Linked DNA regions of Macaca fascicularis. The protein of the gene in region 7 interacts with the protein of the main gene of each other region in a pairwise test. Links are inferred from orthologs where the notes say so. Each region holds a gene or a part of one and is shown on either strand. Other genes may lie near its edges.

Evidence for each region.
Region 1: the proteins of LDOC1 (region 7) and HDAC4 interact in binary tests that used the Homo sapiens proteins (3 or more experiments, as listed by UniProt). The two-hybrid records come from large-scale screens. The link is inferred for Macaca fascicularis from reciprocal best matches to the Homo sapiens genes LDOC1 and HDAC4.
Region 2: the proteins of LDOC1 (region 7) and UTP14A interact in binary tests that used the Homo sapiens proteins (3 or more experiments, as listed by UniProt). The two-hybrid records come from large-scale screens. The link is inferred for Macaca fascicularis from reciprocal best matches to the Homo sapiens genes LDOC1 and UTP14A.
Region 3: the proteins of LDOC1 (region 7) and GNL3L interact in binary tests that used the Homo sapiens proteins (3 or more experiments, as listed by UniProt). The two-hybrid records come from large-scale screens. The link is inferred for Macaca fascicularis from reciprocal best matches to the Homo sapiens genes LDOC1 and GNL3L.
Region 4: the proteins of LDOC1 (region 7) and ATF4 interact in binary tests that used the Homo sapiens proteins (3 or more experiments, as listed by UniProt). The link is inferred for Macaca fascicularis from reciprocal best matches to the Homo sapiens genes LDOC1 and ATF4.
Region 5: the proteins of LDOC1 (region 7) and PRPF31 interact in binary tests that used the Homo sapiens proteins (3 or more experiments, as listed by UniProt). The two-hybrid records come from large-scale screens. The link is inferred for Macaca fascicularis from reciprocal best matches to the Homo sapiens genes LDOC1 and PRPF31.
Region 6: the proteins of LDOC1 (region 7) and ZNF774 interact in binary tests that used the Homo sapiens proteins (3 or more experiments, as listed by UniProt). The two-hybrid records come from large-scale screens. The link is inferred for Macaca fascicularis from reciprocal best matches to the Homo sapiens genes LDOC1 and ZNF774.

Annotation. Positions count from the first base shown.
Region 1 is NC_088386.1:135,022,447-135,025,946, reverse strand, and holds part of HDAC4 (histone deacetylase 4), read left to right. Parts: intron 1-608; coding exon 609-866; intron 867-3,500. UniProt on the Homo sapiens protein: Responsible for the deacetylation of lysine residues on the N-terminal part of the core histones (H2A, H2B, H3 and H4).
Region 2 is NC_088395.1:136,173,568-136,177,550, forward strand, and holds the start of UTP14A (U3 small nucleolar RNA-associated protein 14 homolog A), read left to right. Parts: upstream 1-1,183; 5' UTR 1,184-1,235; coding exon 1,236-1,261; intron 1,262-2,718; coding exon 2,719-2,794; intron 2,795-3,983. UniProt on the Homo sapiens protein: May be required for ribosome biogenesis.
Region 3 is NC_088395.1:54,542,337-54,545,836, forward strand, and holds part of GNL3L (guanine nucleotide-binding protein-like 3-like protein), read left to right. Parts: coding exon 1-158; intron 159-247; coding exon 248-390; intron 391-705; coding exon 706-842; intron 843-3,001; coding exon 3,002-3,129; intron 3,130-3,500.
Region 4 is NC_088384.1:12,124,644-12,128,587, forward strand, and holds ATF4 (cyclic AMP-dependent transcription factor ATF-4), read right to left. Parts: upstream 2,632-3,944; 5' UTR 2,439-2,631; intron 1,835-2,438; 5' UTR 1,743-1,834; coding exon 1,517-1,742; intron 1,416-1,516; coding exon 586-1,415; 3' UTR 501-585; downstream 1-500. UniProt on the Homo sapiens protein: Transcription factor that binds the cAMP response element (CRE) (consensus: 5'-GTGACGT[AC][AG]-3') and displays two biological functions, as regulator of metabolic and redox processes under normal cellular conditions, and as master transcription factor during integrated stress response (ISR).
Region 5 is NC_088393.1:61,920,153-61,923,652, forward strand, and holds part of PRPF31 (U4/U6 small nuclear ribonucleoprotein Prp31), read left to right. Parts: intron 1-100; coding exon 101-161; intron 162-2,712; coding exon 2,713-2,796; intron 2,797-3,397; coding exon 3,398-3,495; exon of another isoform or gene 3,496-3,500. UniProt on the Homo sapiens protein: Involved in pre-mRNA splicing as component of the spliceosome. Required for the assembly of the U4/U5/U6 tri-snRNP complex, one of the building blocks of the spliceosome.
Region 6 is NC_088381.1:74,891,079-74,894,578, forward strand, and holds part of ZNF774 (zinc finger protein 774), read left to right. Parts: intron 1-3,316; coding exon 3,317-3,423; intron 3,424-3,500.
Region 7 is NC_088395.1:147,495,032-147,499,175, forward strand, and holds the start of LDOC1 (protein LDOC1), read left to right. Parts: upstream 1-1,344; 5' UTR 1,345-1,453; coding exon 1,454-1,894; 3' UTR 1,895-4,144. UniProt on the Homo sapiens protein: May have an important role in the development and/or progression of some cancers.

The DNA.
Region 1 (3,500 bases), on a different chromosome or scaffold from region 7:
TAGTATTCCAGGAGGGAGGCCATGACATCCCTAGGATTCAGCAGGAAGGGAGGTCCTGGAGTGTTCCCAGGATCCGGCAGGAGGGAGGTCATGGCACATCGGTGGGACCCTGCAGGAGGGGAGGCCGTGGCGTGTCAGTGGGCTCAGGCAGTGAGCATTGTGGACGTCGATGTCTTCCGCTGGGTGGGTGGTGGCTGTTTCTCTCAGCAGTTGTGGCTATGAGGTCAGCATTGGCCTCTCCTTCACACTCAGGCTCCCCTCTGCAGACTCGGTTGACACCTGCGGCTTCTTTTCTGTTTCTCAGTGCCTGACGCAGAAGAGGTGCTTAGTAAACCCCAAATGTTAGTCAGCCTCCTTCCCTGGGCCAGGTCACCTTGACCCCGGGCTGGGGTCCTGATGGGCATTATTTTCTCAGCACCGTGGATAGCGCCCAAGTGCCTGTTGTGCGGGAAGATGAAGGCGCCTGCTGGCCTGTGGCAGGGCGATAAGATGCCTTGAGTCCCTGATTGTCTGCCCCAGAGGTGGGTGGTTGGCAGCATCCCTCCTCCTGTCTGATGAGCTCAGAGGCCCCAGCTCTCTGTGCTTCATGTATTTCCTCTGCCTTGCAGATCATCCCGAAACCAAGCGAGCCGGCCCGGCAGCCGGAGAGTCACCCAGAGGAGACGGAGGAGGAGCTCCGTGAGCACCAGGCTCTGCTGGACGAGCCCTACCTGGACCGGCTGCCGGCGCAGAAGGAGGCGCACGCACCAGCTGGCGTGCAGGTGAAGCAGGAGCCCATTGAGAGCGATGACGAAGAGGCAGAGCCCCCTCGGGAGGTGGAGCCGGGCCAGCGCCAGCCCAGTGAGCAGGAGCTGCTCTTCAGACAGGTGACTACAGGCAGGGAGGGCACCAGCAGGCTGGCACGCACAGCCACCCTCGGTCCCCGGGCGGCATCTTCTGTGTGGTGATCACGGGAGCTGCAGGGCATCCTTGTGCTGTCGCTGTCCAGTGTCTCACCCGTCTTGTCCTGGCCAGTGAGGGAGGTTGATGTGGCTTCTGTTTTGTCCCAGCTGTTCCTAGGGATTCGAGATGTTTGCCCACTGCGGGTGGTTACGTAACTGCTTTCCAGCCATGCACAGGCCCCAGAGAATGGGTTTCCTTCCTGTTTGTAGGCTGTAAATGATCACAGCATCCACGTGTTAGTGAGGTACAGCATGCTTTTTAAAGAAGTGAAGGAAATAGAGGTATTAATTGATCAAAAAGACAGGCAGGGTCTGATCAGAAGTCAAGACCTTTTGTGGCCCAGTGGTGCTAATGAGCAGCCCTGCAGATCCAGACAAGACGGGTACGATCGTGGCACCCAGAGCCAGTAAGGCTTCAGGGCACTGACACCCAGTAACCAAATGCACAGGAGCCTGATGAAGAAGGCCAGTGAATGATTGGTTAATTTCCAGTGAAACATAAAACTTCTGAGTCAACAGAAATACCTGAGGCATTTGGGCAGCCAGCTGGAGCCCCGTATCTGCAGCCAGAGTGTCCTCAGAAAGGTGGCTTCCTCCCTATAGGCAGGAAGCGAGCCTGAGGAACCACAGCTGTAGGATTTGATTCTGTCCTCCAGCAGCAGAGCTGCTGCCTCGGCTGCAGGAGCCACTGGATCATTCCCTCCCTTGTCTCTGGACTCCATGCTGGCCGTGCCACTGAGCACCTCCCCAGCTTCCTGACTGCCAGCTGTGTGGCCAGAGCTGCATCTCTACCCCCAGCAGCACCCTGGAAGCCAGGAGCAGGACGCCCTGCAGTAAACTGTTCCCTTTAATTCTCAGCTGCAGGTCTTGGCACCGAATGAATCAGTGTGGGCCCTTGTATCTGGAGCACCTAGACCCAAGCCTGCCGCACGGGGGGTCAGGTCTCAGTGGTCTCCAGAGGCTTCTGGGCCAGGAGCCCTTCTCTACCAAGCTTCCCCCGGCGGCGGGCATTGGGTGCTATTTCTCCTTTTTGTTCAGAGGGCGGCCTCTCTCTAATTTCTGGGCCGTCTTAATTAGCACCCCGGGCACTAAACACTACACAGCCCAGCAGCCTGGCAAAGACAGAGAGAGAAAGCCCCGGGCCTCTCTGGCGCACACACGGTGCTTCGTGGCGAACACTCATCCACAGGTCCCGTCTGACAGGCCCGGGTTTGGGGCCTCTTCCTGTGGTCGGGCCTTGAAAGTCGATGAAGGTCTGAAATTCAGTGTGCTGTTATTATGCGGATAAGAAGTGGGAAACTATTTACATTAATAATTTTTAGGACTAGTTTCTCATAGATCGGCGTTCACTTTGAAAAAAGAGGCTTGTTATATTCCAAGCGTGAGATGATGATTAGAAACAATTTCTGTTCTCTCTGGAGAGTAATAGGCAGAACTCCTTATCAGGGAAACTTGGTAGTACACGGAGCAATTTGCCGAGGTAAACCTAAGGCGGGACACCTTCCAGCCGGTGTCCGGGAGGATTGCTTATTAACCGCTTAACCACGTGGGGCCCACAGCAATCCCAGCTGAATTTGGTTAGCCGCAGACTGGGGGCCTGTGGGTGCTGGCTCCTACTCCAGCTCCTGCTCCAGCTCCTCCGCCTGTCTCGGGGCTCCCCTCTTCTCTGCTCCCTCCTGGCTCTGATTCCTTTTTTTTTTTCTTTTTTTGAGACGTAGTCTCACTCTGTTGCCCAGGCTAGAGTGCAGTGGTGCCATCTTGGCTCACTGCAGCCTCCACCTTCTGGGTTCAAGTGATTCTTCCCCCTCAGCCTCCCGAGTAGCTGGGACTACAGGCACCTGCCATCATGCCTGGCTAATTTTTTTTTTTGGTAAAGACAAGGTTTCACCATTTTGGCCAGGCTGGTCTCGAACTCCTTACTTCAGGTGATCTACCCGCCTCGGCCTCCCAAAGTGCTGGGATTACAGGCGTGAGCCACCTGGCCTGATTCCTAAAGACAAGACAGATCAGAGCCTGGCCAGGCAGCTCTGGCTTCCCCCAGTGCTGGCAGCACAGGGCTGGACTCCGCCTCTCATACAGGAGCTGAGATGTAGGTACCTGGTTTTCCACGTTCACAGGATTTGTTCATCAAAACTAAGACAGGATTGGCGCAGAGCTCCCAGCGAGGAGGCGCCCGGCTTTCTTTGTGCCTCGGCTTGGGTGGCAGGTCGCCGTGCTCTCCCTCAGCTGCTGTCTGGGGAGAGGCTAGGCAGCTGTGGCCTCATCTCTGCCCTGCTTCCTCCACTCCACTCTGCCTCGTATGAGGGTGTGCACCTCAGCCTGTTCCCAGAATCCCTTGGGGTGTCCCAGGCCCCTGACTAAGTGGCCTCCCTACACAGAGCCCAGCCCAGCCCCATCTCATCAGAGAGGCACATCCCCACCAGCAGGCCTGCTCCAGGCTCCAAGGGTCCTGGGTGCCTGGAAGCTGATGGGCTGTTTCTGCTTTTAGCCTGCATGAGGATGTGTGGAATGTGAGACCAGGGAGGGGAGCGGCTGCAAATGAAGCCGAGCTAGCACTTC
Region 2 (3,983 bases), about 11 Mb from region 7:
AGGGAGGGAGGGAGGGAGGGAGGGAGGGAACAGACAGTTATTAAATACCACACAAAGTTCTAGGAACCCAAAGACTGAGAGGTATCCATTTTATTTAGCAACTTTGGGTGTCGCTGATCTTGTCCAGAGCAATTTCTGTGGAATAATGGGGCAAAAGCAAAAATGGGAATGGATTAAAAGAATGAAAAGAATGTTCTTGTCTATTATTTTTCTACAATCATCATATATATATATATACACACACATATATTAGGCAGGGCCCAGTGGCTCACGCCTGTCATCCCAGCACTTTGCGAGGCCGAGGCGGGCGAATCACTTGAGGCCAGGAGTTCCAGACCAGCCTTGCCAACATAGCAAAATGCCATCTCTACTAAAAATGCAAATATTAGCCGAGCATGGTGGCAGGCGCCAGTAATCCTAGCTACTCCGGAGGCTTAGGCAGGAGAATCGCTTGAACCTGGGAGGCAGAGGTTGCAGTGAGCCGAGATCACGCCATTGCACTCCAGCCTGAGCGACACAGCAAGGCTCTGTCTCAAAAATAAATAAATTCTTAAAAGTTGATGGGAGAAAAAAAGTTGTTTAAAATAATTTTTTTAAAGTTGATAGGAGGTGAGGAAGCGTAGCTACTGACGGCCCATTCTTGGATAAAATATTTTGACTCAGGAAATGAAGAACAGAGCTGCAATTACAAGGGATCAAAAGATATTTTTCCTTAAATGGAAGGAAACTTGTTTTGTTCACCATCGGATCTCCGGGGCCCGGCACAATCTGGCCACTTAATGGGCATTCAATAAACCCCCGAGCTGGCTGGTGGCCGGCTTGCAGGACGCTGTCGCACAAGGACGGGCGCTGGAGTCTTTCCTTCTGGATTATGTAGGGACGAATGAAGGCGCGGGCTCAGTCCCTGACAGCGCAGTACCTTCGCCCTAAGCTAACCCACCCTGGGCCGCGTGGAAACCAGGGACCAGGAGGACAGACACCGGCGCACCAGAGAAATACGGGGTGGGTGGAGAAAAGAAAGCCCCACCCGCTGACAGCCGTTTCATCTCCAGCCTCGCCGTTTTACGCAGTCCCCTCCCTACACGGCTCCTGCTTCTCACACGCCTAGTACGCAACGGAACTGACGTGTACGTCGCGAGCGATTGACGGAAACAGAAATTGCTTTGCGGCCGGCACGGAAATTGCTTTCCTTCGGCTTCCGTTCTTGGTCCATGTGAGAGAAGCTGGCTGCTGAAATGACTGCGAACCGGCTTGCAGAGAGGTGAAGGGCAACGAGGGGAGTGGGGATTCTGGGTCTCGTTGGGGGCCGGGTTCCCCAGCTTTTGGGAAATGGGCGCCCCCTTTTAACAGATGGCAGTGGTTCCCCTCAAGAGCTGGCCACTTGTTCCTGTTTTCCGCGATCCAGCCTTTAAAGCCCTTTTAATTTCATTCACTTACTCCGCTCCTCAGCTGTATAGCCGCATCCCTGTTGGTCCTGATGCTGTTTCTGCCTCCCCAGCTCATTTACTATGTTTCACATTCCTCGTCACGTGACCCCTTTTTCTGCCTCTGCCGCGGCCCGATTTAATCCTCTGCGCAGGCAGTGCAGGCGTTATAAACTCCCCGAATCTTCGAAAGCTTTGCTGACTGGAGTCATCGCCACGTTTTGGCTCCTATGATGTTTTGTGCCTCCCCTCCCCGCCCCCGGAACTAAATGTAGTCCGTTTAGGAATGTTGGCTTTGCAAATACTAATAATATATGCTGTTAAGTAACGGTAAATTTTGTAATTTGTGGGTACCAGTCTCCCTAGTTAAGCACCTACTTTGCTAAGCAGGCCCCAGGGAAAATGGCTTACTCAGCTGCTTTCGACCTGTTTCTCCATTCCTGGGAACAAGTGATCAAGATGACACTTTTTTTTTTTTTTTTTTTTTTTTTTTTTTTTTTTTGAGACGGAGTCTCGCTCTGTCGCCCAGGCTGGGGTGCAGTGGCCAGATCTCAGCTCACTGCAAGCTCCGCCTCCCGGGTTTGCGCCATTCTCCTGCCTCAGCCTCCCGAGTAGCTGGGACTACAGGCGCCGCCACCTCGCCCGGCTAGTTTTTTGTACTTTTTAGTAGAGACGGGGTTTCACCGTGTTAGCCAGGATGGTCTTGATCTCCTGACCTCGTGATCCGCCCGTCTCGGCCTCCCAAAGTGCTGGGATTACAGGCTTGAGCCACCGCGCCCGGCCAAGATGACACTTTTGATCAGGCTGCCTTTTGATCAGGCTGCCTATCAAAGAGTCAAACATGTGGAGGATGCTTAGAAATATTAATCGTGAAACTGCCTTGCCTCCAGGGCTAGCAACAGCGTCTTTGGCCATATTATTCTAGGGTCTGACATTTTTACAGCTTCCCATAGGTCATAGGAAATGTTGTGCCAATCACTGAAAAGTGTTAGCTCTTTTACATGCAGTTTTGAGTCAGGCATCATTCCTGGAGGTGATGCCTGACATCAGTCTAAATTTCACGTCTTGACAAGTTTTCAAAGGCGTTCATGCTGCTTTATATATCTTCTGAGGGATAGGGCTATTCTGTGTTGAAGTTACAATGTTTACGAGATTGTTTTAATAGATTAGACATTGCTTCAAATAACAATATTTCTCTATTAAATTTCAACTTTTATTATAATTAAGGGATACATATACAGGTTTGTTACATGGGTATATTGCATTCACATTTCTTTGTTGCCTCTTTTAACAGCCTTCTGGCTTTGAGCCAACAGGAAGAACTAGTAGATTTGCCAAAAGACTACCTCTTGAGTGGGAGTGAAGATGAGGTGGGTGACAATTGCTAAACTGCCTTCAAAATTAGGGTAGAGAGCACATTCCTGGAATGGAAAGGTGTGACAATATTCTATGTATTTGTTCAGGTCTCTCAAATTAATTACAAATGGTTAGTGTTTCATATATAAGTTACTGTATCATATTAAGTGCTATAAGGATTTGGAAACTAAGTTACACTCACTACCCGCAAGTTGCATAAGTATAATTTATAAAACCAACGAAAACAGGCCCGGCTGGTGGCTCACGCCTGTAATCCCAGCACTTTGGGAGGCTAAGGCAGGGAGATAACCTGAGGTCAGGAGTTCAAGACCAGCCTGGCCAACACGGCAAAACCCTGTGTCTACTAAAAATACAAAAATTAGCTGGGTGTGGTGGTGTGTGCCTATAATCCCAGCTACTATTGAACCCAGGAGGTGGAGGTTGCAGTAAGCCAAGATCAAGCCACTGCACTCCAGTCTGGGCAATAGAGCAAGACTCCGTCTCAAAAAAAAAAAAAAAAAAGACTGAAACACATGGTCCTCATATGATATGATTTCCCAAGTTTGGATTTCTATAGAGCGTTATTTAATTATCTGACTGAAATATGCATATGTATTTTAAGCTGGATCTCCAACAGATGCTATAAGAATTCCAATTCTTTATTTCCCTTACAAAAAAACACTTTTTTTTTCCCTTGGGTTGGGGGCACACAACACATCTATTTTAATAACAAGGAGGGTGTTTTTTTTTGTCTATTTTTTTCTGCTTGTCGTGTTCTTCGTAGGAAAAGCCAACTTAACTTGGAGGCCGGGTGTGGTGACTCACACCTGTAATCCCAGCACTTTGGGAGGCCAAGGCGGGTGGATGACTGGAGGCCAGGAGTTCAAGACCAGTCTGGCCAACATGGTGAAACCCCGTCTTTACTAAAAATACAAAAATTAGTTGGGTGTGGTGGCACTCGCCTGTAATCCTAGCTATTCCAGTGGCTGGGGCAAGAGAATCACTTCCAGGAGGTGGAGGTTGCAGTGAGCTGAGATCACACCACTGCACTCCTTCCTGGGCAACAGAGCGAGACTCTGTCTCAAAGAAAAAAAAGCCAACTTTGTAACTGGCTATGACTTACACTATATGTCAGGGTTTCCATGTTAGATCATACTATATATTTTATACAGAAACACCATTTTAAGCCCTTTTTGTCTAGAA
Region 3 (3,500 bases), about 93 Mb from region 7:
ACCTGGACAAGTTCATCCGGCTGCTGGATGCTCCAGGCATTGTCCCAGGGCCCAACTCAGAGGTGGGCACCATCTTGCGTAACTGCGTCCACGTGCAGAAGCTGGCAGACCCTGTGACCCCAGTGGAGACCATCCTGCAGCGCTGCAACCTGGAGGAGGTCTGCAGCAGAGCCCTGGCCGATGCCCTGCCCTACTCCAAGGGCCCTTCATTCTTCCTCATGACTTCTCTCCTTCCTCCCGTCACCAGATTTCCAACTATTATGGCGTCTCTGGGTTCCAGACCACTGAGCACTTTCTTACGGCAGTGGCCCACCGTTTGGGGAAGAAGAAGAAGGGAGGCTTATACAGTCAGGAACAGGCGGCCAAAGCTGTCCTAGCTGACTGGGTGAGGTGAGGAGGAGGTTAGGGGTAAGGGTGAGGCCCACTGGGAGCCTGGCTCCACAAAGGCTCATCTGTGCTCATTGCCGTTGGGGCAGCTTGACTTCCTGGGTCTTGGGGCAGAGGATGGCCAAGGTGCCAGGTCATGTCCTGCTCAAGACTTTATGCCCAGTGATTATCCAGCAACTCAACTCCTTCTTGTTCAGAAGCCACTGTCTGGGTTTTCTTGTTCCCTTGCTGTTTCTGGCCTACAAACTCATCGTCTCTTGGATTGTCATTGGTTCTCTCAGTGACAGCACCACTAATCTCCCCTATTTCCCAATGCAGCGGGAAGATTAGCTTCTATATACCACCACCACCCACTCACACTCTGCCCACCCATCTCAGTGCTGAGATTGTTAAGGAAATGACCGAGGTCTTTGATATCGAGGATACTGAGCAGGCCAATGAAGACACCATGGAATGTAAGTGTGGGCAGGGTGGGTCCACTTGGTCTTGCACTAGTGGGGCCACGCAGACCTGACAGCAAATCCCATGTTTGACCTCCCGCTTCCTTGGCCCTACTTGGGCTTTGGGCAAGTTGCTTAAGCAGCTCGAGGCCTAATTTCTTTTCCTGCAAGGTGGGGAATTCTAATCTGGCCCTGGCAGGGAGGGTGGGGGGTGGGGGGAGGGTGGTTGCGAGCTTTTGGTAAATACGAAAGAAGGTACCTGGTGCCCACTGAGGTGCTCTGGAAATGTGAGGCTCCATTCCTGTCTCTTGGGACCCGGAATGGACTGAGATGTTCTCTCAAAAACTCTCTAATGTTGCCTTAGGCTTTTTCACAACCATTTCAGGTCCATTTCTAGATTTTCCTTCTTACTCCCATTGGTGAATAAGGTACCCAAGTCACAGAAAGCTGATATTTGCCAAAGGATATCAGCAGAGGTGCCTTTGACCTGGTTCTCCTGCCCTGTTGAAGACTCTTCCAGCTCAGAGGAGCTGGGTGTCCAAAAGTATAGACTGCCTGGATTCAAATCCGAGCTTTGTTTCCTTTTTACTGTGTGATGCTAAACAAATTACTTCACTTCTTTGTCTCAATGATGTTATCTGTAAAATGGAGACAATAAGTCCACCCGATAAGGTAGTTATGAGGATTTATTTAATATGTAAAAGACATTTAGAACAACAGTGCCTGGCATTTAGTAAATAGATGCTCAGTAAATGTTAGTTTTTATTAAGATGCTTATTTGCTGGGGAGCGGAGATGTGACTCTCAGAAACTCCTGAGAATGTTTGCTCTCCTCAGATACTACTCTCTGCAGCCCTGGCTTGTGGCTCCCTGCTTCATTCTCTACACTGCCTAAGGAAGGTATCCAGTGCCCTCTGGGCTTGTCTGTAGACATTATGGGGTAGTTGAGGAAGCTTTGGCTAGCCTGGCTTCTAGATACTCTATTTTTTTCTCTTGAGGTCCAGTAGTTTTCCTTCTCTGGGTCTTTTAGTGTCCTTGTATTACACACGAGGTTAAGAGGACTTGCCTGCTTTCTAGTTTTCCCATGTGGCTTTGGGCAGGTCATCCCCCTGTCTGAATTTGTTTCTTCTTCTTCTTCTTCTTCTTCTTCTTCTTTTTTTTTTTTTTTTTGAGGCAGAGTCTTGCTTTGTTGCCCAGGCTGGAGTGCAGTGGTATGATCTGGGCTTACTGCAATCTCTGCCTCCTGGGGCCAAGTGATTCTTGTGCCTCAGCCGCCTGAGTAGCTGGGACTAGAGGTGTGCACCACCATGCCTGGCTAATTTTTTTATTTTTAGTAGAGATGGGGTTTTGCCACGTTGGCCAGGCTGGTCTCGAACTCCTGGCTTCAAGCAATCCACCTGCCTTGGCCTCCCAAAGTGCTGGGATTACAGGCATGAGCCACTGCACCTGGCCTTAGTTTCCTCCCCTGTTAAGTAGGGCAGTTGAGAAGGGTTTGAGCTTATGTTCTTATGATGATGCTTGACCCTGGCTGGATGTGAGGGCAAGAGGTGCTCCATCACTGAGAATGCATTTTGGCAAAAGATTGAGGTCTGAGAAATTGAGAAGACAGTGAGGAACAGGTTAGTGGTGAGCATTTTCTGGAGGAGGTGGCCCTAGTGCTGGATCTTGAAGGGTGAGTAGGGATTAGAAGGCCAAGTGTAGGGAATAGGGGCAAAATTATACAAGCAGGCATAAGGGTAGTGGGGCACAGGGCAGTGGGCACATCTGAGGGTTGCAGTAGAGGCCAGCTCCAGGCAAGGGACCAGAGAGAGGAGGAGAAAGTCTGGTCCTGGGGAGGGAATCCCAGTGCCTGCCATTTACAGAGCAGCATCTTGGGCCAGAGCATTACAGACATCTGCCATGTCTCACAGCAGCCCAGTGTGAAGAGGGCTTGTGGAATTCCCATTTTCCAAATGAGAAAGCTGAAGCTCTGAGTCCAGCTCCCAGCAAGTGAATGTCCTACTGCAAAACCCATGCGTTTAATTCTTAGTCATGTGGCCTCTCAGCAGGAGTGAAACGTTCCTGCACCTAACTTCCCTGGGAAGCATCTGTGTATCCTTTTCACTGAGGCCTGACCAGGGGGGCTGGCTACAGAGGGTAGCCAGGGCCCTGACAGTGGTGTTGGTTGTGTTAAAGGCTTGGCCGCTGGAGAATCTGATGAGCTGTTGGGTGACACGGACCCACTTGAAATGGAGATCAAGTTGCTCCATTCTCCGATGACGAAAATAGCAGATGCCATTGAAAATAAAACCACCGTGTATAAGGTACCTGTCATCTTTGTTCATGGCAACCCTCTTCTCTCCCCAGGGCTCTGGGAAGTGGTCAGTCCCTTTTACCTGCCTTTCGTGTGGTGAGATGTGGGTGGTTCACTTGCTGCCTGTGGGCTTCTGGATGCCTGGCCTAGTGCATCCTTTACCAAGCAATGACAGGTCCAGGAAGCAGGCATGCTCTCTAAGGCAGCTTTCCCAGCCCTGGTTCTAGCCCACAGAATAGGTATCACTGTCTAGCCACCCAGTTGTCCAACTTGCAAATGACTCTTTCTTCTCCCTAACTAGTACCAGGATTTTTTTTTTTTTTTTTTTCTTTTGAGACAGAGTCTCACTCTGTCACCCAGACTGCAGTGCAGTGCCGTGAT
Region 4 (3,944 bases), on a different chromosome or scaffold from region 7:
CTCAGCTCCTGTCCTGCTTCAGCATCAATTCCGAAAAGGAGCCATTTCTTTCTTCAGGAACACGCTTCTACAGAACTCAGGGTAACAAGTGAAAACTAATCTTGTGTGCTTATCTCAAGGACTGTGCAAGCTTATCCAGGGTTTCAGGCGACAGCTGTTGGCATGAAGCCCTCTTGAATAAATAGGTGGAGGCCCAGGCTGTCCCTCCCTCCCAACCTCCCAGAGAGCTCCAGCCTCCTCCCTACACAACCAGCGAACTCACCTCTGGGTAAAGGACCCAACTTGCTACAGTTGGCCAACTATCTGGCTGTATGGCCCCATGAGTCATCAGGCATCGTGGCTTACACCTAGCAGGGCGAGCAGTTCCCACTCTGGGTACCCATCTTCAGTCCTGGACTGCCCTCCTCCCCAGATCTCACAAGGAATGTTATGACCAGTTTGGGATGGGTGGGTGGCGCCTCACTCGGCTAATTTGCCAGAAAAAGAATCCACACAAGTACTTTCCCTACAAAATAATTTATTCCAACACACAGCAACAGCAGAGACTCTATGTACAAGCACACTGACGCTCCTGACTACCCTCAACTAGGGGACCCTTTTCTTCCCCCTTGCCTTGCGGACCTCTTCTATCAAATCTTTCAGGTACTGGATCTCCTTGGCCAGGGAATCCGCCCTCTCTTTTAAAGCCTCATTCTTCTTTTCCAGCTCTTTGCACTCGCCAGTGAGGGCCTCCTGCTCCGCCCTCTTCTTCTGGCGGTACCTAGTGGCTGCTGTCTTGTTTTGCTCCATTTTTTTCAGCTTCTTATCCAGTTTCTCACCCTTTACTTTTGCTTCTACCATCTTCTCTCCAGGAGGGTCGTAAGGTTTGGGGCGGGCAGAGCCACAGAGAACACCTGGAGATGGGAGGCTCCTATTTGGAGAGCCCCTGGTAGACGGGCTATGCTGAGGAGAGCCCAGATAGGACTCCGGGCTCATACAGATGCCACTATCATTATCTGAGGGGGTGTCTTCCTCCTTTATGCACGGAGGGATCATGGCAACATAAGCAGTGGCATCTGGCTTCCTATCTCCTTCAGTGATATCCACTTCACTGCCCAGCTCTAAACTAAAGGAATGATCTGGAGTGGAGGACAGGACCCCTGGGGAAAGGGGAAGAGGTTGCAAGAAGGTGAAGGGGGCAACCTGGTCGGGTTTTGTTAAACTTTCTGGGAGATGGCCAATTGGGTTCACCGTCTGGGGGGGCTCCTTGTTAGTCTCCTGGACTAGGGGGGCAAAGAGATCACACGTGTCATCCAACGTGGTCAAAAGGTCATCTGGCATGGTTTCCAGGTCATCTATACCCAACAGGGCATCAAAGTCGAACTCCTTCAAATCCATTTTCTCCAACATCCAATCTGTCCCGGAGAAGGCATCCTCTGCAAAAGATTTGAATGACAGGGCCAAGTGAGTCAGATACAAAGATAACAGGCCCCTAACCCTAGATCCCACCCAGACGATGTGGTGGTGGCCCACTCACCCTTGCCGTTGTTGGAGGGACTGACCAACCCATCCACAGCCAGCCATTCGGAGGAGCCCGCCTTAGCCTTGTCGCTGGAGAACCCATGAGGTTTGAAGTGCTTGGCCACCTCCAGGTAGTCATCTAAGAGACCTAGGCTTTCTTCAGCCCCCAAACCCGACTGGTCGAAGGGGGACATCAAGTCCCCCACCAACACCTCGCTGCTCAGGAAGCTCATTTCGGTCATGTTGCGGTGCTTTGCTGGAATCGAGGAATGTGCTTAATTCGAAGATGTCTTTGTCGGTTACAGCAACGCTGCTGCTGAATGCCGTGAGAAGCCTGAATGGGAATCAGAAGCCAACTCCCATTAGAGGTTAGCTGGTCTGAGAATTTCATCTTTCCACTTACGAGGCGGGACTTCTCTAGTCCAGCCATCTACAGAGTCGGCAACGGGGCAGTTGCATCCGCCCCTCCCTGCTGCGGCTCAGGTTCCACAAAATGGACGCTCACGGAGACCAGGCGATTCTTCCACCGGCCACCAAGAGGAAGGCGCTCCGTCCCCGCGTCCAAATACGGCCAGGGCGGCCGCGCCCCGCCCACCGCCCGCCCTTGACTCACGCCCGCGGCGCCGCCCTGCCGCCGCCATCTTGGTTCTTGCCACGTTTCGCGGGGGGGGAAAGCCGAGACCCCTGGGACCCTTGGGGGATTCGGGGTCCGAGGGCGGCAGGGCCCCTGTGGAAGCAGTCCTGGCACCAGAATGCGCCTTCCCGATCCCGGGCACGCGAGCGTCTCGGGGACACCCAAGCAAAGACCACGCGTCCCGGGCGCTCGTAAAATCGCTTCCTCCTTGGCGGCACCGCCCTGGGCCCCAGGCCGCACCCCACCAACCCAAAACCTGCGCCGGCCCAGGGAGCACAGCTGGACGACCCGCCCTGGTACTCACGCCATGGCTTAAGCCGCTGGGGGGGGGTGCCGCTGCAGAGCCTGGTGCTGCTGCCGCCGCTGCAAAGGCCAATGCTGCCGCAGGCACTGCTGCCCCTAATACGCCATGGTGGCCGTGGACCCTGCGGGCGGGGAGGAGGGAAGGCGCACACGTGCGAACCAAACTACATTTGTGGGCGGACGAAGTAGAAATGGCCGCAACAGCCGCCCGCCGGCCCTTTATAGACTTCGTCTCTAAGGGGACGCAGCACCGACGCATCCTTCCGCCACGGCCACGTGACCATCTCCTCCCGCCCGCTCGTTTCCCTCCCTTTGACGCCCCAACCGTTTATGCCCAGCGCGTAGCTGTGACGAGAAAAGGTGTTTGTTCTTATGACCTCACGAAACGAGAGAGGTGCACTACTTTACTTCTATGATCAGAGTCCGTTCTTTCCTTCGCCGCCGGAGCGCGGAGTGATCTCGCAGACACGCCTCGCTTCCGGTGTCGGCGCGGTGGGCGGGGAGAGGTCGTTTTCCGGCGGAGAGTTTTTATTGTGAAGGCCGAGGACGCCAAGTTATCGCGCGAGGTGCTGGCGAAAAGCGCGCGTCAAGTTGATTGGCCCAGGCACGGTGAGTCATATATACCTCGAGCTCTTATTGGCTCAGGGCCCCAGGTGGGCGGCTGCTGGGAGAGGGATCACGGAGTCCGCGTGGGAAGGGTCGGGGTCTCGGGTCTCTGCCAGGCCTCAGGCCGGCCAGCCTGCTGGCCAGCTACAATCGCACTGGCTTCTGCCCCCAGGAGACCTTAGCCTAGCGCACCCCATAGTGGCCTCAGGGCCCAGCCCCTGCGGTCGGGTCCCGCCGCCCTCAGTGGAGGTCCGCCACTGGCGGCCCCGCCGCCACTCCCAGCCTGCGCGTCCTTCGGTTGCGGGGGCTAATTTCTGGCCTGCGGAAACCGCGGGGTTACCTGTTCCAAGCCTGAGTTTTCCAGAGACGCCATTCATAGCCGACACGGTGTTGCTGCCCCCGGGAGGTTGAAGGGGTCTCGAGAGGGCGCCTCGGGCCTGCCCACCTACACTCAAAGGCCAGCTGAGTCTGCATGGCTCCGTCTAAACTCTGGAAAGGAGCCGGGAAGACGCGCCGTCCTGTCGCCCAACCTGGGTTTTTACAATTCTCATCCGGCTCAAGTGCGAGGCTGCCACAGAATAGCATCATAGGGGAACTTCTGGTGTCCGAAGATTGCGTTCCCCTAAGAACAGAATTTTCTTCGCTGCCATCTACCTGGGGTAGTTTCGATTCACTCCGGGTTCTGAACTCCCCGGCCTAACCCGCTTTTCAGTGGTCATGCCCATGGCCCTGGGAGGAGAGGCGCTTGGGAACCCACGGCCACGTGCTCGGGGTTGTGCGTTGGGAAGGGGGGGTAGTCTGTTTTAATACAGGAAACCTCCGCATCGTCCTCAGCCCCCTCCAGTCAGGCCCTGTGAAGGTAGAAACTGTTTCCGCCTCCATTTCACCGGGCCACACAAGT
Region 5 (3,500 bases), on a different chromosome or scaffold from region 7:
TTCCTAGCCAGGGGGCTCTAGACAGAATCTCCCAGAAGGGGGTGACACAGGCTTCTTTGGGAAGAGTCCTGGATTCTGACTCTCCCCTCCTTTCCTGCAGTTTGCTGAGATTATGATGAAGATTGAGGAGTATATCAGCAAGCAAGCCAAAGCTTCAGAAGGTGCTTCCTCCCACTCTGTGCCCTTCCCTATCTGCTGTGTCTCCTGCCAGGCCCCTAGGCTCCCTGGCTGCTTGCGGCTGGGTGTATCTCCCCCGCAGCCTTTTCCAGAGCCTTCTTTCTTGTTTGTTTGTTTGTTTCTCCCCACCCCCTTCCCTTTTCCACTAAACATATACTGCATTGCGAAGCTCATGCTTCTTACGTCCTTTCTGTGTGCTGAGCCTGGTCATGCTGGGACTTAGCTTGAGGGTTCCCAGACTTCACTGATGCACATGACCAGTTACAGGGTTTTTGCCACATCTATAAGCCACTTGTCCTATTATTTGCTTAACATATTCTTTGAGTCTGGGACTTTTTCTCTTAAATTTATCTAAGAAGGAAGCAAATTGCTACCATGAATGGAAAACTGGTATCATTTGCAAAGACAAAGTCACCGTATAAAAATAGACATACAATTATTAAAGAATCACCTAAAACCTTTTCTTACTTCCAAATTGAGAGAATACTAGCTTATCTCGTGAGTGCTCAGACTCACTCTTAGGAGGGCAGTCCTGTTACCATTCCTATTCTTTTTTTTTTTCCGTTTTCCTTGAGACGGAGTCTCCCTCTGTTGCCCAGGCTGGAGTGCAGTGATGTGATCTTGGCTCACTGCAACCTCTGCCTCCCGGGTTCAAGTGAGTCTCCTCCCTCAGCCACCTGAGTAGCTGAGATGACAGGTGTGCACCACCACGCCTGGCTATTTTGTATTTTTTAGTAGAGACGGGGTTTCATCATGTTGGCCAGGCTGGTCTCGAACTCCTGACCTCAAGTGATCCGCCCACCTCGGCCTCCCAAAGTGCTGGGATTACAGGCGTGAGCCACCGTGCCCGGCCTTCCCATTCTTCTTGAATGGAATTTGTTGACAACAGGAAGCCATGGGAGGTTTCTGGGGGAAGAAGTGTAGTGGGAGGGCAGAGTTTTGGGAGACTCACTGCTTACTTGCTTTAAGGTTTACCTGGGCACCCAGTTGAATTGCCCGGGTCTTTGCGCTCAACGTGCTCAAGGTCTAGTGGAAGAGGCAGGCCGGGTTCCAGACAGCTGTGAGTCACTGCTGGAGTCTTAAGGACTTAAAGAGCCTTTTGAGCATCAGGGTTAGGAACACATTCTGAAGCCACCCTGCTTGGGGTCAGGTCTGAGCTCTGCTGTCTACTGGCGGTGACATCAGACAGTTAGTATTTGTATGACATTTAAACACAACATCTTTTTGTTTGTTTTTTGAGACAGGGTCTCACTCTGTCACCCAGGCCAGAATGCAGTGGCACGATCACAGCTCACTGCAGCCTTGACCTTCTGGGCTCAGGTGTTCCTGCCTCAGCCTCCCAGGCAGTTAGGACCACAGGCATACACCACCATGCCTGGCTAATTATTTTTTCTTTAATTATTTGTAGAGATGGGGTCTCCCTATGTTGCCCAGGTTGCTCTTGAACTCCTGGGCTCAAGCAGTTCTCCTGCCTCAGCCTCCCAAAGTGCTGGGATTACAGGTGTGAGCCACTGTGCCTGGCCTCTTATTACTAAAGCACAAAGAAGGGTTTTCCAGAAACAGACATGGGGTAAGGGATGCTCTGGGGAGAGGGAACAGCATATGCAAAGGCCAAGAGGGGCCTTGCATGGTGGCTCATGCCTGTCGTCCCAGCACTGGGTGGCCAAGGCTGGTGGATCACCTGAGGTCGGGAGTTCGAGATCAGCCTGCCCAACATGGTGAAACCCCATCTCTACTAAAAATACAAAACAAGTTAGCGGGGCATGGTGGCGGGCGCCTGTAATCCCAACTACTTGGGAGGCTGAGGCAGGAGAATCACTTGAACCCAGGAGGCGGAGGTTGCAGTGAGCTGAGATCGTGCCACTACACTCTAGCCTGGGCAACAAGAGTGACACTCCATCTCAAAAAAAAAAGGCCAGGAGGAGTGGGTGTCTGGGGCACTGTGACCAGTCCTTTATGGCTGGATGAGAGGATGGGGTGGGAAGGGTGGGAGGCCAGACCGCAGAGTTGCTGAGTCAGCAGAGAGGAACTGGGCAGCTCCCTGTGTGCCAGGTGCTGTCCTGAGTACTCGGGTGTGGGTGTAGATAACGCAGGCACAGCACTGGTCCCTGCAGAGCTTCTGGAGTTGGGCAGGCCTTGAATGTCAGTCTAGGGACTTGGTCATTAGCCTTGGGGCTATGGGGAGCCATAGGAGGTTTCAGACGGACGGTCAGTTCCAGGGCAGGTAGGGTCAAGTCTAGACTGGTGTGGAGGGAGAGGGATTGGAGGCAGGAACACAAGTTCAGGGATGTCTGCAGATGTCAGCCTGTCGCCTGCTTTACTCTTCAACCCCTCCTTCCTGACCCCCTCCAGCCTCGTCCTCCGCCTCCTCCAGCTGCAGGATCTGGGAGGCAGACGTCAGCCTGTCCCTGGTTTACTCTTCAGCCCCTCCTTCCTGACCCTTCCCAGCCTCATCCTCCGTCTCCCCCAGCTGTGGGACCCGAGAAGGGGTAGGGATTTAGATCCTCACACCCATGCCACTCCGTGTCCTCACAGTGATGGGACCGGTGGAGGCAGCGCCTGAATACCGCGTCATCGTGGATGCCAACAACCTGACCGTGGAGATCGAAAACGAGCTGAGTGAGTGCTGGGGGCAGGCGGAGACAGCCCCCTGTGACGCCCCTCATGCCCCCTCCCTTCCCCACGGGCCTTTCCCAGGGTCCTGCCGCTGAGCCCAAGCTCAGATCGAGGTTCACCTGCTGTAACGGAGTGGTGTAAGTAAGAAGGAAGTGCGTTCTCCTTCACGTATGAGTCTGAGCGAGCACTCGGGGACGGCGTGGCTCCCTCGCGTATGAGTCTGAGCGAGCACTCGGGGACGGCGTGGCCGCTTGGCTGCCTGTAAGGCCCCAGCCCTTTCCATCTTGTTGGTCGGCCACCTGCCTCGTGGTGCGAGGGGACTGCCCCACGTCCAGCCGTCGCCTCTGCATTCCCACCAGCAAGGCACTTCTTTTTTTTAAGAACATGTCACTGCAGCTCACATTTTACAGACCAGAACTAATTCCCCTGGTCACACCTAGCGGTAAGGGCGGCTGAAAAATGGAGCCTGTATGCTGGTGCCCGTATGCCAGGCTGCAAGCCAGGGCTTCAGTTACTAAAGGAAGAAGGGGACGTGGGTGTTAGGGCCAACCAGCAGAGTCTGCCTCCCGTCTCACCTGACACCCGCCTGTCCCGTTTACCCTAGACATCATCCATAAGTTCATCCGGGATAAGTACTCGAAGAGATTCCCTGAACTGGAGTCCTTGGTCCCCAATGCACTGGATTACATCCGCACGGTCAAGGTGAG
Region 6 (3,500 bases), on a different chromosome or scaffold from region 7:
ATGCATTTTATGGTTTGTAAATATCTTTGCTATTTATTGTCTTTTTAATATCTCATCATAACTTTTTGATATATGTATTACTGTCCCCCTTTTCCAGCCTGGGTTGAACTCTCACCTCTGCCACTTAACTTTTGAGACTTCTGAGGTCTTTGTGGAAAAGGAGGTAATTTTTTCTGTCACTTAAAAACAGGCTGGGTGCAGTGGCTCACACCTGTAATCCCAGCACTTTGATAGGCCGAGGTGGGTGGATCACAAGGTCAGGAGTTCAAGACCAGCCTGGCCAACATGATGAAACCCCATCTCTACTAAAAATATAAAAATCAGCTGCGTGTGGTAGCAGGCGCCTGTAATCCCAGTTACTCTGGAGACTGAGCAGGAGAATCGCTTGAACCTGGGAGGCGGAGGTTGCAGTCAGCCGAGACCGTACCATTGCACTCCAGCCTAGGCAATAGAGCAAGACTCTGTCTCAAACAAACAAACAAAATACCTCCAATTGCTCTTTCCCAAATATCCTGGCTACCCTTCCTTCTGCTTTACTTTTTTTTTTTTTGTGGCAGAGTCTCACTCTGTCACCCAGGCTGTAGTGTTGTGGTGCGATCTCGGCTCACTGCAACCTCTGCCTCCTGGGTTCAAGCGATTCCTGGATAATTTTTTTGTATTTTTAGTAGAGATGGGTTATCTCCATGTGGGCCAGGTTGGTCTCAAACTCCTGACCTCAAGCGATCCGCTCACTTCGGCCTCCCAAAATGCTGGGATTACAGGAGAGAGCCACCGCACTCTAATTTTTGTATTTTTAGTAGAGTTGAGGTTTCACCATGTTGGCCAGGCGGGTCTTGAACTCCTGACCTCAAGTGATCCACTGGCCTTGGCCTCCCAAAGTGCTGGGATTAGAGGCATGAGCCACTGCACCTGGCCTACTTCATCTATTATACAAGTAATGTATACTCATTAAAGCAAAAGACAATCAAAATGAAAACAAACGTCATCCCTAATCCCACCACTGAAGAGTTACTATCCTACCAGCATTTTTCTAAGCATGTATATGATTTTAAAACAAGCACAAAAGGATAATATTGGGATTATACTGTACATTCAGCTGCACATTCTTTCTTCCATGTTGTATCATGAATATATTTTGACAACAATAAACATCTTTCTTTACATCACTTAAAATAACCACCTAGTATTTTGTTTTATGGAATACAATATTATTTTGTTGTTGAAGTCAAACATTAGATTGAACCATATATCTGACCTTTTTTTAACCTATAAAAATAGCAATTGCCTGAGCTACTTGGGAGGCTGAGGCAGGAGGATCCCTTGAGCACAGGAGTTCCAGGCTGCAGTGAGCTATATAATTATTCCTTTGTTGTGGGACATTTAGGTCATTTCTAAATTTTCACCAGGTTGTGATAAACCTCTTTTAACTCATTTTTTAAAAGTGTTTTTTTATTGAAGTATAATTTTATCATTTCCTTAGAATTCTCAGAACTAGAATTGGTAGGTCAAAGAACAGATACATTTCTAAGGTATTTAATACTTTGCAAAATGCCTTCCAAGAAGATCGAATCAATTGATTTATTCCCACAAACATTATATGAAAGTATCCATTTCTTTATATTCTACCTTTCACAGTGGGTATAATAATTTAAATAGTCTGGGGCTGGGTGTGGTGGTTCATGCCTATAATCCCAGCATTTTGGGAGGTTGAGGCAGGAGGATCACTTGAGCTCTGAAGCTCAAGACCAGCCTGGGCAACATAATGAGACCCTGTCTCTACAAAAAGTTACATTAGCCAGGTGTAGGGGCTTGTGCCTGTGGTCCCAACTACTTGGGAGGCTGAGGTGAGAGAATCGCTTGAGCCAAGAGCTCGAGGATGCAGTGAACTGTGATTGTACCAGTGCTCTCCAGCCTGGGTGACAAAGCAAGAGCCTGTCTCAAAAACGAACATGCACACAAAACACAAAAAAAGAGTCTGGGAAAAATAGCAATGATAGTTAACATTTATTGAGTCTTTTTTTTTGGAGATAGAGTCTGTGTCGCCCAGGCTGGAATGCCGTGGTGCAATCTCAGCTCACTGCAACCTCCGCCTCCCAGGCTCAAGCAATTCCCATGCCTCAGCCTCCCAAGTAGATGAGATTACAGGTGTGCACCACCACATGTGGCTAATTTTTGTATTTTTAGTAGAGACAGGGTTTCTCCATGTTGGCCAGGCTGGTCTTGAACTCCTAGCCTCAAGTGATCCATCTGCCTTGGCCTCCCAAAGTGCTGAGATTATAGGTGTGAGCTACTGCACCTGGCCAATGGATCTTATTGTTATCCCTTTTTTTTTTTTTTTTTTTTTGAGATAGAGTCTCACTCTATAGCCCAGGCTGGAGTGCAGTGGTGTGACCTCAGTTCACCACAACCTCTGCCTCCCAGGTTCAAGCGATTCTCCTGCCTCAGCCTCCCAAGTAACTGGGACTACAGGCCTGTGCCATCATGCCCGGCTATTTTTAGTGGAGACGGGGTTTCACTATGTTGGCCAGGCTGGTCTCAAACTCCTGACCTCGTGATCCGCCTGCCTCGGCCTCCCAAAGTTCTGGGATTACAGGCGTGAGTCACCGTGCCCGGCCTCTTATCCCTATTTTATTGATGAAGACATCAAGACGCAGAGTTTAAGTAACTTTCTTAAGGCCACACAGCTTGTAAGAGGCAGGATTATGACTCAAACCCAGGCAGTGTGAATGCTGAGTTTGTACTCATTATCTCTACACTATATTGCCTCAGTGTATCATTGTTATAATGGAATTTCTTTGATTATAGTGAGGTTAAACATTTTTCATATATTTATAGGCTACTTAACAAGTGTTTATCTTTTTCTCGTGGCTTTTTTGACTGCTGCCGTTCTGGGAAAATTTTAAAGCCCAACATTATAGTTAACTTCCTTTATTCTTTCTAAGGGTGAGGTCATGGCAGCTTTGTTTCTGATCAAACCCTCTCCATATTTAACTTTAGCCTTGTGCCTTCAGAAATGGTTATTGTATTTACTTATTCAGAGTTTCTGTCAACTGAGTCTGTTTTTTTTTTTTGTTTGTTTTGTTTTTGTTTTGTTTTGCTTTGTTTTTATGGGAGGAAAAGAGCTTTTTTTTCTTAGTATTTTGGGGAAATCACCCTGTTTTATCACTGTACCATGGCTGTACTTTTAATGAGACCAAATACATGTTAGAGTTTCCCTGGTGTTCTCTCATATCTAGGCAGGGAGTAGGGCTTCGATTTTGGTCAGGCCTTGTGTGATTGACTCAGACTCACATCCTATGTTTACATTCCTGTGTAGAATTTCCAGGCCTAGTGTAATCTCCCAGTTGGAGCAGAAAGAAGAGCCATGGGTCCTACCACTCCAAAACTTTGAAGCAAGAAAGATCCTGAGGGAAAGCCACGCAGGTGAGATGTGAGTGCTCCCCAGTGGAAGGAAATCTAGCATTTCAGCCTTGTTTAGATGAAGAATTTGGAATGCCGCC
Region 7 (4,144 bases):
TTTTTTTTTAGAGATGGAGTCTCGCTTGGTAACCAAGGCTGGAGGAGTGCGCTGGCGCTATCTCGGCTCACTGCCACCTCCGCCTCCCGGGTTCAAGCGATTCTCCTGCCTTAGCCTCCTGAGTAGCTGGAACTACAGGCACCTGCCACCACTCCCCGCTAATATTTTGTATTTTTAGTAGAGACAGGGTTTCACCCTGTTAGCCAGGATGATCTCGATCTCCTGACTCGTGATCCGCCCTCCTTGGCCACCCAAAGTGCTAGGATTACAGGCGTGAGCCACCGCGCCCGGCCCTAATTTTTGTTTTAAAGGATTCCTGTGGCTACTCTATGGAGAATATACTATAGGAAGAAAAGAGTGAAAGCTAAGTGATTAGTTGCAGCAGTCTGGGTGAGAAAGGCTGGGGATCAGGGTGGCAGTGGTAGAAATGACAAGTCATGACTGAATTGGCAATATATTTGAAAGCAGAGCCAACAATTCCTGTCGGCTCTAGGATCAGGGATCCGTTTAAAGTAGAAAAACAAAATTATTTAAAAACACAAACATCTTAACAGTTCATTTTTAAGTACAGAATAAAACCCAGTGGCCAAAGGCACTAACAGCAGGACAAGAAATAGAGAATCAAAGATATGTGGGATGCCTGCAATTGATTATTGGATGCTCATTTTGCAAAACTTCTTTATATCCTGCTACTTAGGTTTGTTTTTTTTTGTTTGTTTGTTTTAAGGGAGTATGCCGTATTATTCCCCTACTAAAGAAGTCACTGTTTAAATACTGCCTTTTTCATGAAAGGCAGGAACCCCTGAAGGTCTTCATGATCCTAAAAGGAAGTGTGAGTCCCACAGTGCAGCCAGCAGTGTCAATACTTCTCTGAGTGAGATTTAAACAAGAAAGAAAATGTGTTAATAAAACATCACGCCAAGAGAATCTAGTGGCCACAGACCCACGAAGGAACAACTGAGTTGTGAGAGTTGCCTAGGTAGAAGGGTGGCTAATCCTTTCAGTTTGAACAAATTTGCCTTCTCTGAGACCAAACTCAGCGCTCGCCAGGTCCTCTGCTAACGCAGGCCCCACAACCAGGAGCTAGGGGAGCCTACCCCAGCCTTTAACTGCCCGCCTAGAGACCTACCACAAGCCGGTGGTTCAGCGACCCAGTGCATCCTTTTCCTGGCCACGCCCTCTTTGTCTAAACCCTTCCCATCCCGGCCACGCCCCCACGCAGCCGCGGCCCCCAGTCTGGCCACGCCCCTCCCGCGCCGCGCCGGCGCACCATCCGTCCGAATGGCCTCGTGGGCGGAGCTTGCGTAGCCTCCCGGACCCCGGCGCGCACCGCCCCCCGCCCCCAGCCCCTGGCCATCGAGCGTCTCCGTGGACACGCACTTCCTGCGAGGCCTCCGTGCGCACCTTGGCCGAGCCGAACCGAGCCGAGCCCTGTCCTTCCAGGCTGTTCGCAATGGTGGATGAGCTGGTGCTGCTGCTGCACGCGCTCCTGATGCGGCACCGCGCCCTGACCATCGAGAACAGCCAGCTCATGGAACAGCTGCGGCTGCTGGTGTGCGAGAGGGCCAGCCTGCTGCGCCAGGTACGTCCGCCGAGCTGCCCGGTGCCCTTCCCCGAAACGTTTAATGGCGAGAGCTCCCGGCTCCCCGAGTTTATCGTGCAGACAGCGTCTTACATGCTCGTGAACGAGAACCGATTCTGCAACGACGCCATGAAGGTGGCATTCCTAATCAGTCTCCTCACCGGGGAAGCCGAGGAGTGGGTGGTGCCCTACATCGAGATGGATAGCCCCATCCTAGGTGATTACCGAGCCTTCCTCGATGAGATGAAACAGTGCTTTGGCTGGGATGACGACGAAGACGACGACGACGAGGACGAAGAGGATAATTACTAGGCCCTCGGGCCTCGGGGGGAGGGCCCTGCACGCCGTCACCCCCTCCCCGCAGCCCTCACCCCGCCAGGAGCCACTGCTCTCCCCCTTGCCCTCCGGTCCCCTTCCCTACCCGCGCCCGTCTGCTCTTTCTTCATTTCTCCGTAGTGCTTGTCTTTGTTCCAGGAATAGTGCTCCAGTTACCTGCTGCTGGGGTTGGGGCTGGAGCCTCACTCACTCGGAAGTGCTTGGAAGTGTCATCTACCCTGGCCATCCCGGGGATCCCTCCCCTGCTAATCTGAACTGTGTCCTGAACCCCAGCTATTGGCCAGGCCCCTGTTACAAACTGCGCAGACCACCCATAGCCCTGCTGCTGCCACCTGCCCTGCTGCCAGGCTTACATCTGCCCAGAGAACTATGCTGCCACTTCACATCCACTCACCACATCCCACCTACAGACTACCGCCTTTCGAGATCAGGACCAACCTGGAAAATGCCAGAGTTGGCTCTGCCTCTTCGGACATTGATTTGGACAGCTCACCAACCCCTGAAGAGGCCAATCATTCAGCCTGGTTAGTTTTCTACCTACTCCGAGTGTCCTCCCCTGCCATACCAGATTGCTGCAGGGGCGCGGTGTGCCTGACAGCCAAATTGTTGATATTTCTTTTTTCCTATGCACTGGTTTTACACAGCTGTCATTTTTCTTTCAAAATTGCAGCAGTCCCACAGATGTATGCATTTGGACAAATAGTACTAAAAACAAAACAAACAAGCACTCAGCCCAGCTCCTCAATACTACCTGGAAAAAGCATTGGCATTATTTTCAATAAATATCAAGCACTAAAAAACGAAATGACTGTCTTTTAATAGTTAAGTGCTATCACTGACCTCTAGAACTGTCACTGTGACTACCGTTATTCCCATGGAAATCAGGGAATACAACCAATCCTAGGAATCCCTGCTGTCAACTCCAGGCTGCTGGGGACAGCTACCTCAGGGCTTTGTCAGGGTTCTGATGCTTCCTTCACCAACGCATTTCTTAAAGCCCTGGCAAAGGGTGTGTTCTCTGGGTCCTCCAGGGTGGCATGGGTAAGGGTTGGCTGAGCAGATGGCAAAGAGGGCAGTATTAATAATTAGACCATAACAACAGGCATAAACCAGGACATATATATGTATTGCTCCTAATTCTCTGAGCTTTTGGATTCCTTAATATTGTGCCAGGGAAGTTCTGCCCCTTAATCCTTATTGCCTATATGCAGCTGTTGAGTTCAGGCTCCAGAGAGCCAACATAGTACATTGTCACTTTCAAACTCCAAATAGCCAACATGTCACTTACAGGTGCTCTAGCTAACATTAAGTCCCAGATCCTGGGCAAGTGCATCCATAAAGATATACCCTGATCTTAACAAACATTTCATCCTCCTTGGGCAGACATCCTTAGAATTTCCACTCATAGATGTGTCCCAGATTCCTCCCTATGGAAATTAGCAAGATGCTTGGTTATCTCTTAAATCAGACTTTGTACTGCTATCTGGGGGCTATGCTGAGATCTCTGGGCCTGGAGGGTTCAGAGCAGTGAAGGGGGTGGCTGCTGAGAAGAAACTGCATACCTGTGTGAGGCCATTGCCCCAGGTTAAGTCATTGAAATGTTTAATGCAGAGCAGCTTGGTTGGGGATTTGACAGGACTACCTCTTAGAAAGGTTTAGGAGGATGTGAGGGGTTCAGAGTTCTCATTTATATCTGTCCAGATGTCCTCCCTCATTGTACCATGTCTGGAGCCAACTTCACTTTATAACCTTTAATTAATTTAGATAACACATTTCCTTACTGTTTAAGGCCTTTTGAGGCAAGATATTTCATTTGTACTGGTAAACCTCAGTGTTGATTAAATGAGATATGGGGCTTCATATTAATCACCTGATAGGTGTGGATTATATGAGATCATACCCATGCAGCATTTAGAACTTTCCCTGCTACATGGTGAGCACTCAGTAAACCATGGGCTGTTACTCCTGGGCCTGGGGACAGAATTCTCAGGAAGCAAGTCTCTGGCTCTGAGCGTGGCTTTAGTAGGAAAATGTCAGCGTAAAGAGGAGCAGAGCAGGTTCAGCGATAATGGAAATGAGAGCATGATAAGACCCCATTTACTTTTTGAAGTCTTATATGAAGCAAGAAACAAAGCTGTTTACGTGGTGAACAGGCAAAGTTCAGGGTAGGAATTATATCTCACACCTAGGATAGCTGTTTCTGGAGGGTGGGGACAGGGGTGAGTA